Kluyveromyces lactis: one gene and its partners. The protein of the gene in region 2 interacts with the protein of the main gene of each other region in a biochemical or structural test. Links are inferred from orthologs where the notes say so. Each region holds a gene or a part of one and is shown on either strand. Other genes may lie near its edges.

What was found.
Region 1: the proteins of NFS1 (region 2) and ISD11 form a complex in vitro, tested with the Saccharomyces cerevisiae proteins (3 studies listed by BioGRID). The link is inferred for Kluyveromyces lactis from reciprocal best matches to the Saccharomyces cerevisiae genes NFS1 and ISD11.
Region 3: the proteins of NFS1 (region 2) and YFH1 form a complex in vitro, tested with the Saccharomyces cerevisiae proteins (2 studies listed by BioGRID). The link is inferred for Kluyveromyces lactis from reciprocal best matches to the Saccharomyces cerevisiae genes NFS1 and YFH1.

Annotation. Positions count from the first base shown.
Region 1 is NC_006041.1:402,081-404,092, reverse strand, and holds ISD11 (Isd11p), read right to left. Parts: upstream 782-2,012; coding exon 506-781; downstream 1-505. Other genes in the region: APQ12 (Apq12p), read left to right, coding at 1,451-1,900.
Region 2 is NC_006040.1:422,016-425,051, forward strand, and holds NFS1 (cysteine desulfurase), read right to left. Parts: upstream 2,028-3,036; coding exon 534-2,027; downstream 1-533. Other genes in the region: PET8 (Pet8p), read left to right, coding at 2,535-3,036. UniProt on the Saccharomyces cerevisiae protein: Catalyzes the removal of elemental sulfur from cysteine to produce alanine. It supplies the inorganic sulfur for iron-sulfur (Fe-S) clusters. Plays a role in both tRNA-processing and mitochondrial metabolism.
Region 3 is NC_006041.1:787,088-789,498, reverse strand, and holds YFH1 (ferroxidase), read right to left. Parts: upstream 1,204-2,411; coding exon 631-1,203; downstream 1-630. Other genes in the region: PBI2 (Pbi2p), read right to left, coding at 1-224; EXP1 (Exp1p), read left to right, coding at 1,617-2,048; ubiquitin-specific protease UBP1, read right to left, coding at 2,193-2,411. UniProt on the Saccharomyces cerevisiae protein: Promotes the biosynthesis of heme as well as the assembly and repair of iron-sulfur clusters by delivering Fe(2+) to proteins involved in these pathways.

The DNA of each region.
Region 1 (2,012 bases), on a different chromosome or scaffold from region 2:
TATCTGGATTACGACGATGATATTATCTTGGATTTGGGTTGGTTGAAGTCACGTGCCTGTTCACGTGATTTTGAGCAATTCCAAACCCCATGTCTCTCTCTCTTTCCGCTTATTAATCCTCGAACAGCAGTCTAGCATGGATCGGAACGTCGTGGAAGACACAAATCGTCTGTCCTTGCTGTTTACAGACACCGTGTTTCAGTACCATAACCTACCCTAAAGACATATTAATTGTCTACGCAAACGATTGGTGTTTTGCGCGAAAGAGATAAACAAAATGAGTAAATTTACTAGCATTTTGAGTCATCCCAGTAATTGTAGAACTGTTGAGATCATATTGAATCTGTTAGAATCGCGTTTCTGTTAATTATACCTATTTAAAATGCAAAACATGGGATGCGGACCAAGGAAATTATGTGGGGGAACTGGACTAGTGGGACTGTCGTTCATTGATTGAAAGAAATATGAAAAAGAGAGGGGAAAGCATTCCTGTAAATGGGCCATGCTAACGCTTCTTCAGAGGCTCAACCACTAATTTATCAAATGTGTACATGTTAGAGATCACAGATTGCCTCTTCAATACACCAAGGTCTTTTTCTGCCTCAGAAAGCAATTCGCTGATCTTTTCAGGATTTTCAACGTTCTTATTGGCACGGAATGACTCTCTTGCCCTTCTTAAAAAATACTCTCTGAAATTGTAATTCTGTATCTTGCTCGCGTTCCTGATGAACTCTTTATACATATGCAATATCTGCGTTTTGCTTGCTCCAGTAGCTGGCATCTCTTGTATTAATATATGTGTGTGCTTGTGGATGTGTAGCTAGTTGAAGAGTTGAAATTATCTTCCTTACGAAATCACTCCAATTCCTTTCGTAAAAATACCTTTAAAACAACGGAAAGAATAAAACTGAAAGCTAGCGGATCAAATAATTACACGCAGAAACTCCGGTCTATGATAATACCGATATGGGATCCTGAACCTTACCTTGTGATTTGTGTTATGTATGATTAAACGTTCTTCTAAAAGTACTAAAAAATATAATAAAGTACAATATTTTTTTCCTTCTTTCCAATGTTAAAGAAATCAGAAAACGAAAGGAAATTAAAAACTGAAACTAAAAAACCAAAACACAACTTTATTCTGATTCTGATGGCAACGTGAATTTAAGATGTAAATTTTACTGTATAATAGTTTCTTGAATATTCTTCTGTTTTGCACTGCAATTCAGGAATATATTTATATATATATACTTCTATCTCCGAATTAGCTGAGAAAGATTTGGATTGTCTTTTCTTCTGTCAGTGCCGTTCCCTTATTAAAGTTAAAGTCAACTTTCGTACGGTATTTGTTAAATCCGTGGAGTAATATCGGAGCCAGGAGTTATTTTGGGTACTGGTAAGCAAACCGGTAAAGCAGTTTCGACGTTTGAGTGGTTAAGGTTAGACGATTATGAATAGTTATCAAGAATACCAGAGATTACAACATCTGTTGAGTGATCCAAAATATCAGCCATACGTGAATTTGGCAAAAAAACTGACATACTATGCCTCTTATTATCTGATATGGGCCCTACAGACGGTGCATTCGCTTGTAAGTAGGTACCCACAAGTCTCTGACTGGTTGGGTTACTTGTTTTCATTATACATGGCCTATTTGACTATAAAGCGTGCCATTCGAGTTGTTAAATCGTCCTCTTATGTTATTCTGGTAGTATTTGGTCTTTACGTCTGGCAAAGAGGCGTTTCTCAAGTTATCCTGATGGATTTGCCATATCTGGCAGATAGGTTAAAACAGTACGTGCATAACTTACCAAGGGATGCTCATGGGAACGGATCCTTTCTCAAGGATGTGTATGCTCCGTTTTATGATTTGTACAATTCGTTACAGGCGTTATTTTAATGCATGGAAGAGCGAAAATTTCTCCCTTTATTAATCGGTATTTATCTGCATATCAAGATTGATACTCTACTAGTTAGCCATAGGTTGTATATTTGATTACTAGACTGGAAAG
Region 2 (3,036 bases):
TCCACCAACTTGGTATGCTTGAAATCTCAAGGCCATTACACATTCAGTTATGTGAACGAAAGGTCTTTATTTAACGTAGCATAAACTAAATAATACAGGTTCCGGTTAGCCTGCAATGTGTTAAATCTAAAGGAGCATACCCAAAATGAACTGAAGACAAGGAAATTTGCTTGTCCAGATGTGATTGAGCATTTGAACGTTAATAACATAACATTTTTATACTTAACTATAGAAAGACTTGTATAAAAACTGGCAAACGAGATATTCTGAATATTGGTGCATATTTCAGGTAGAAAAGCTTACAAAACAATCTAATCATAATATTGAGATGAAGAGAAAGATAAAAGAAAAAACGATAAGTCAGATGAGATTATGATTGTACTTTGAAATCGAGGAACAAAGTATATACGGTAGTAGTTCCCCGAGTTATAACGGGAGATCATGTAAATTGAGAAACCAGATAAAGATTTGGTATGCACTCTAGCAAGAAAATAAAATGATGAATCTATGATATAGATCACTTTTGTTCCAGCTTAATGACCTGACCATTCGATGGAGTTCAAGTCAATACCTTCCTTGACCATCTCCCATAATGGGGACAACTCTCTTAGGAAATCAACTCTTTCCGTGATAGCCTTGATAACGTAATCAATTTCTTCATCAGTGGTGAATCTACCAATACCGAATCTGATGGAAGAGTGTGCTAAAGCATCATCTTTACCCAATGCATGCAACACATAAGATGGTTCTAAAGATGCCGAAGTACAAGCAGAACCAGAACTCAAAGCAATATCTCTAAGAGCCATCAATAAGGATTCACCTTCGACATATGCGAATGAAATGTTAACACAACCTGGGTAACGATGGTCAGCAGAACCGTTTAAGATTGTATGGTCAATAGATAACAAAGCGTTCATTAATTTGTCAGATAATCTTTTAATGTGATTTGAGTCGTTCTCGTATTCTTTCATCATCAATCTTGCTGCTTCCCCGAAGCCGGCAACCAAAGGTGGAGCCAATGTACCAGAACGTAAACCTCTTTCTTGACCACCACCGGAGATAAGCGGATCTAATCTGACTCTTGGCTTTCTTCTAACGTAAATGGCACCAATTCCCTTTGGACCATAAATTTTGTGTGAGGAAATGGACATCAGATCTATTTTCATTTCGTTCACATCGATAGGTATCTTACCATAAGCTTGCGCTGCATCGGTATGGAAGAAAACTTTGCGTTTTCTACAAAGTTCACCAATTTCTTTCAATGGTTGCATAACACCAATTTCGTTGTTGACGGCCATAACAGAAACTAAACAAGTTTCAGGTCTGATCGCAGCTTCCAACTCTTCTAAATTGATCAAACCCTGCTCATCAACATTCAAAAATGTGATTTCGTATCCTTCGTTCTTCATAGCTCTGGCGGCTTCTAACACACACTTGTGTTCAGTTCTTGTAGTGATAATATGGTTTCTTGTCTTCTTGTAAAACCTTGAGACACCCTTCAAAGCCATATTATTTGATTCTGTAGCACCGGAAGTGAAGATTATCTCCTTTGGATCAGCTTTGATAACATCGGCGATGTATTTTCTTGCTTGTTCGATCTCCTTGTTAGTTTCCCAACCATAGCTATGAGTATTTGAATGAGGATTACCATAAAGCCCCGTGTAGAATTTCAACATGGTATCTAGAACTCTTGGGTCTGTTGGAGTGGTAGCTTGCATGTCGAGATATATAGGTCTTGTACCGTATTCCCCGGATTCACGGTATGCATGTTGCAAAGAATGTATACCACTGTCCAAAACATCGGGATTTGACACGGCTCTTTCGTTGGCTTGCTCAATAGCTGCTGCTTGGTTATCTGTATGCGTTTCCAAAGTCAAATCTTCTGCTAAGGCAACCTTGGCACTTGCATACGTCCGTCCCTGTAAAACAACGTTACTAATATCAGCACGCTTCAAATAGCCAAAACCACCAGCAACGGGCACACGCCTGGAAAAAACACTCACTCCTCTTAACAATGTCATCGTCATTACAATATCTATCTTAGGATAGTAGACTGTTGCTTGAAACTTGTATACGATCTTAGAACTATAACTCCTTTTAAAACCGAGCTTTTGTCCTTAAAAACAATGAACAAAAAAACCTGGGATATCACTGAAAGTACACTGAATGTATCAATCAATTCTTGTTTCTAAAATTAGGTCTTGTACTATCAGACAATTTCCTAATACGCAACTGAGAATATAGACCCTTTGTTGCTCTCTAAACTCTTCTTCTCCTCTATTTTGATTCTGATTCTTGCATTAGTCAAGATGTGTTTCCCTCCCAAATTCCAATTATTTTCATTTCTCGATTTTTTTTCCTCAAATCCTATGTTGAAAAAAAAAGAAGCCAGAGCAGTGAACCGAACATATACATATGTATGATTTAAAGATTTGCATTTGTTGCACCATCACCTGGTTTGAAAGACGAATTGTACATCAATTACAGACTCAGACGAGTCTTTTATAGATCGGAGTTTGGGGGAATAGTGCGAAATGGATTCTCAGATGTTTATTGCGTCCTTGGTGAGTGGTGCCGCAGCAGGAACGTCGACCGATCTGGCATTTTTCCCAATAGACACCTTGAAAACCCGGTTACAAGCTAAAGGTGGGTTTTTCGCCAATGGTGGATACAAAGGTGTGTACCGTGGTCTTGGGAGCGCGGTTGTTGCGAGTGCACCAAGTGCTTCTTTGTTTTTCGTTGCGTATGATTCGATGAAGTGCTGGTCGCGGCCTGTTATCGGTCAGCTTTTGCCAAAAGGTGAAGATCAAACGGCAGATACGCTTTCGCATATGGTCTCTTCTAGTTTTGGTGAGATTTCTGCATGTATGGTTCGTGTTCCTGCTGAAGTGATCAAGCAACGGACACAGACTCATAGGACAAATTCTTCTTTGCAAACTTTGCAGGCGTTACTACGTAATGAGAACGGAGAAGGTTTGCGCAGGAATCTGTACCGTGGCTGGTCCACTACCATAATGAGGGAAATCCCGTTTACAT
Region 3 (2,411 bases), on a different chromosome or scaffold from region 2:
GCTTTGACCTCTTTATCTTCCTCGATAGTTTCGAAAGCATCACCGTGCAAATCCTTCAATTTATCAATCTTTAGAGACTCTGGCAACTTGACAGCAAATCCCTTAATTAAGGAATAGTCATGGACAATAGTACCACCCAGAGAAGAAATGGAGTTTTTGATCTTTGAAGCGTCGGCTTCTGGAACGCTGTCTTTGAATGTGATAATGAACGATTTGAATGTCATGATTGTTATGATTGGGGTTGTTTGCTTCTGGCTCAGAATGACCCCTTCTTTACCGAGACTATCAAATGTGGTTTATAGAAGAGAAAGTTACTGAGTCAAACAGATTTCATTTATAGAAGAGAAAGTTACTGAGTCAAACAGATTTCATTTATATAGCAACAAAGTATAGACTATAAAGAACAAAAGAAGTCAGGGACTGTGTAAGTGCAATCGCGTCAGTAAGGTATATTTTGGACGTTATAGGTATAAATAAATGAAACAAACAAAAGTATATACATAAATAAGAGTAAAATTGGTTGATTGTGATCTCTGAATTGTTTCTGCGAAATTGGGTCCTTAACGGTGAACTGCGGACATGCCATAGTTGTAAGGCAGTTTGTGAGCAGCAAGATCATATTTACATCGTTCAGTAATGTAGGTCAATTTCGTCGCCTTCTAGTCGGTCACTGAGCTCTTTGTTTAGGATATCCAGTAACTTCGTACCGTCTCTCAACGAAACCCACTCCTTTTGATAGTAATCGAATCGGTTGGGCCCAGACACCGGAGAAGCCAACCATATTTGTTTATTTGGGGGCTGCTTGTTGATTACATATGTACCAACGGAAGGAACTTCTATACTCATCACACCTTGTGACATCTCAACATCCTGCACGACTTCTGGATGATAATCACAGAGAATTTCGAGCTGATCCAGTAAGCTATCCATAAACTCATCAGAAATTTCGTGATACACTTCGATAGGCATATCCAGAATCTCTTCTGGGATAGTTTTCCCATCTGTTGATGCTGCTATACTGTTATGCATCCGCTGTACTGTAACAAAGGGTAGATTATGTTGATTCAAAATCCCGAGTTTTGACAACACAGGAGCCCTAGTTGGTGCAGTTCTTGCGAGACCTATGCTAGGTATCGCTTTGGTAACAATACTACGTCTGGAAATGACGCTTCTAATGACCCTGGAGCTATTTTTCACTAGCATTTATTCCTTATCTTCTAATTTCTTTCCTACTGTATCAATTCAATACTCCGAATAATTCCTTTGAACGTTGTCTGTTCCCGCAAGCCTCAAGGTAAATTTACTAATTCAAGCTAATAGCAACTAGGACTGATTCAGTTTTCGCACCTCAATATGTTGTATGCTGAACTCAACGTGATAGAGAATAACGTACCTAAACTGTGATTTCTCAACCTACTTCAACTGAAAAGGTCCTTCAAGTCTTTTAAGTTTATATCTAATTTCCACAATCTATATTGAAAAAAAAAGATCGATGAGCCGACACTCACACTATATGGCTAATGGCTATGCATACAAAGGGAAACAACTGTTTCTTAAGATATAATATCAACTTCTTGACGAAAAGTGCCAACTAGACGTCAGTACTGCCTTTCGCAATGAACCCATTTGTATATTTAATTGTGTTTCTTTTAGTGGTAGCTTTCGTTGTATTACTACCGCTAATTGGAGGAATTGGTTCATATTCAGTGGACAAGAAGACTACCAGACGCAGTGGTGATGCCAAAGATTCGGAAAAGGCTGGATCCCTTGCAAAATATGCAAAATTGAAGAAAGAGGATGCACCTGTGAAGTTTAAAGTTAGTTCATCACAAGAAGGTGAGGGATTTGGGACTCGGAAGTTCGAAATCGATGGGAAAACAGGGTTGAAGAAGCGTGTCATTGGTAAATACAATGAGGACGAAGCTGAATTTGATTATGATGTTGATGAGTTGATCGCGGAGGATTTAAGAGAGCAACAACAAGAGGAAGCTGCAAGGTATGCCCAGTATTTGGGTAAAGAAAATGAGACACAGGAAAATCTTGTGTGAGCCTTTTTGTTCTCACAAGTAAAGAGGTTTACGTACAGCGTTTCAAACTCCTCCAAAACTCTGATTGTAACATGCTATTATATTAGGGGATTTGTGATATTTATGTATCTATGTAACTAGATGCGTGAAATTGCAAAATAAAATTCAATGAGTTACTTGATCAACAGCAGGTTCACCTTCAATCTCTACGTTGAATTCATTCTCGTATTCAGTATCGTCTTTCATCTTCCCTGTTTCTGTATCATAATCGTACTCGTAGAACAACATGAAAACACCGGGGGTAGAAAGCACTTCTTGTTCGTCGACAATGTAAACACTTTCGTCACTAATTCTCCACCAGCAACCACGGAACCTTCTAAATGC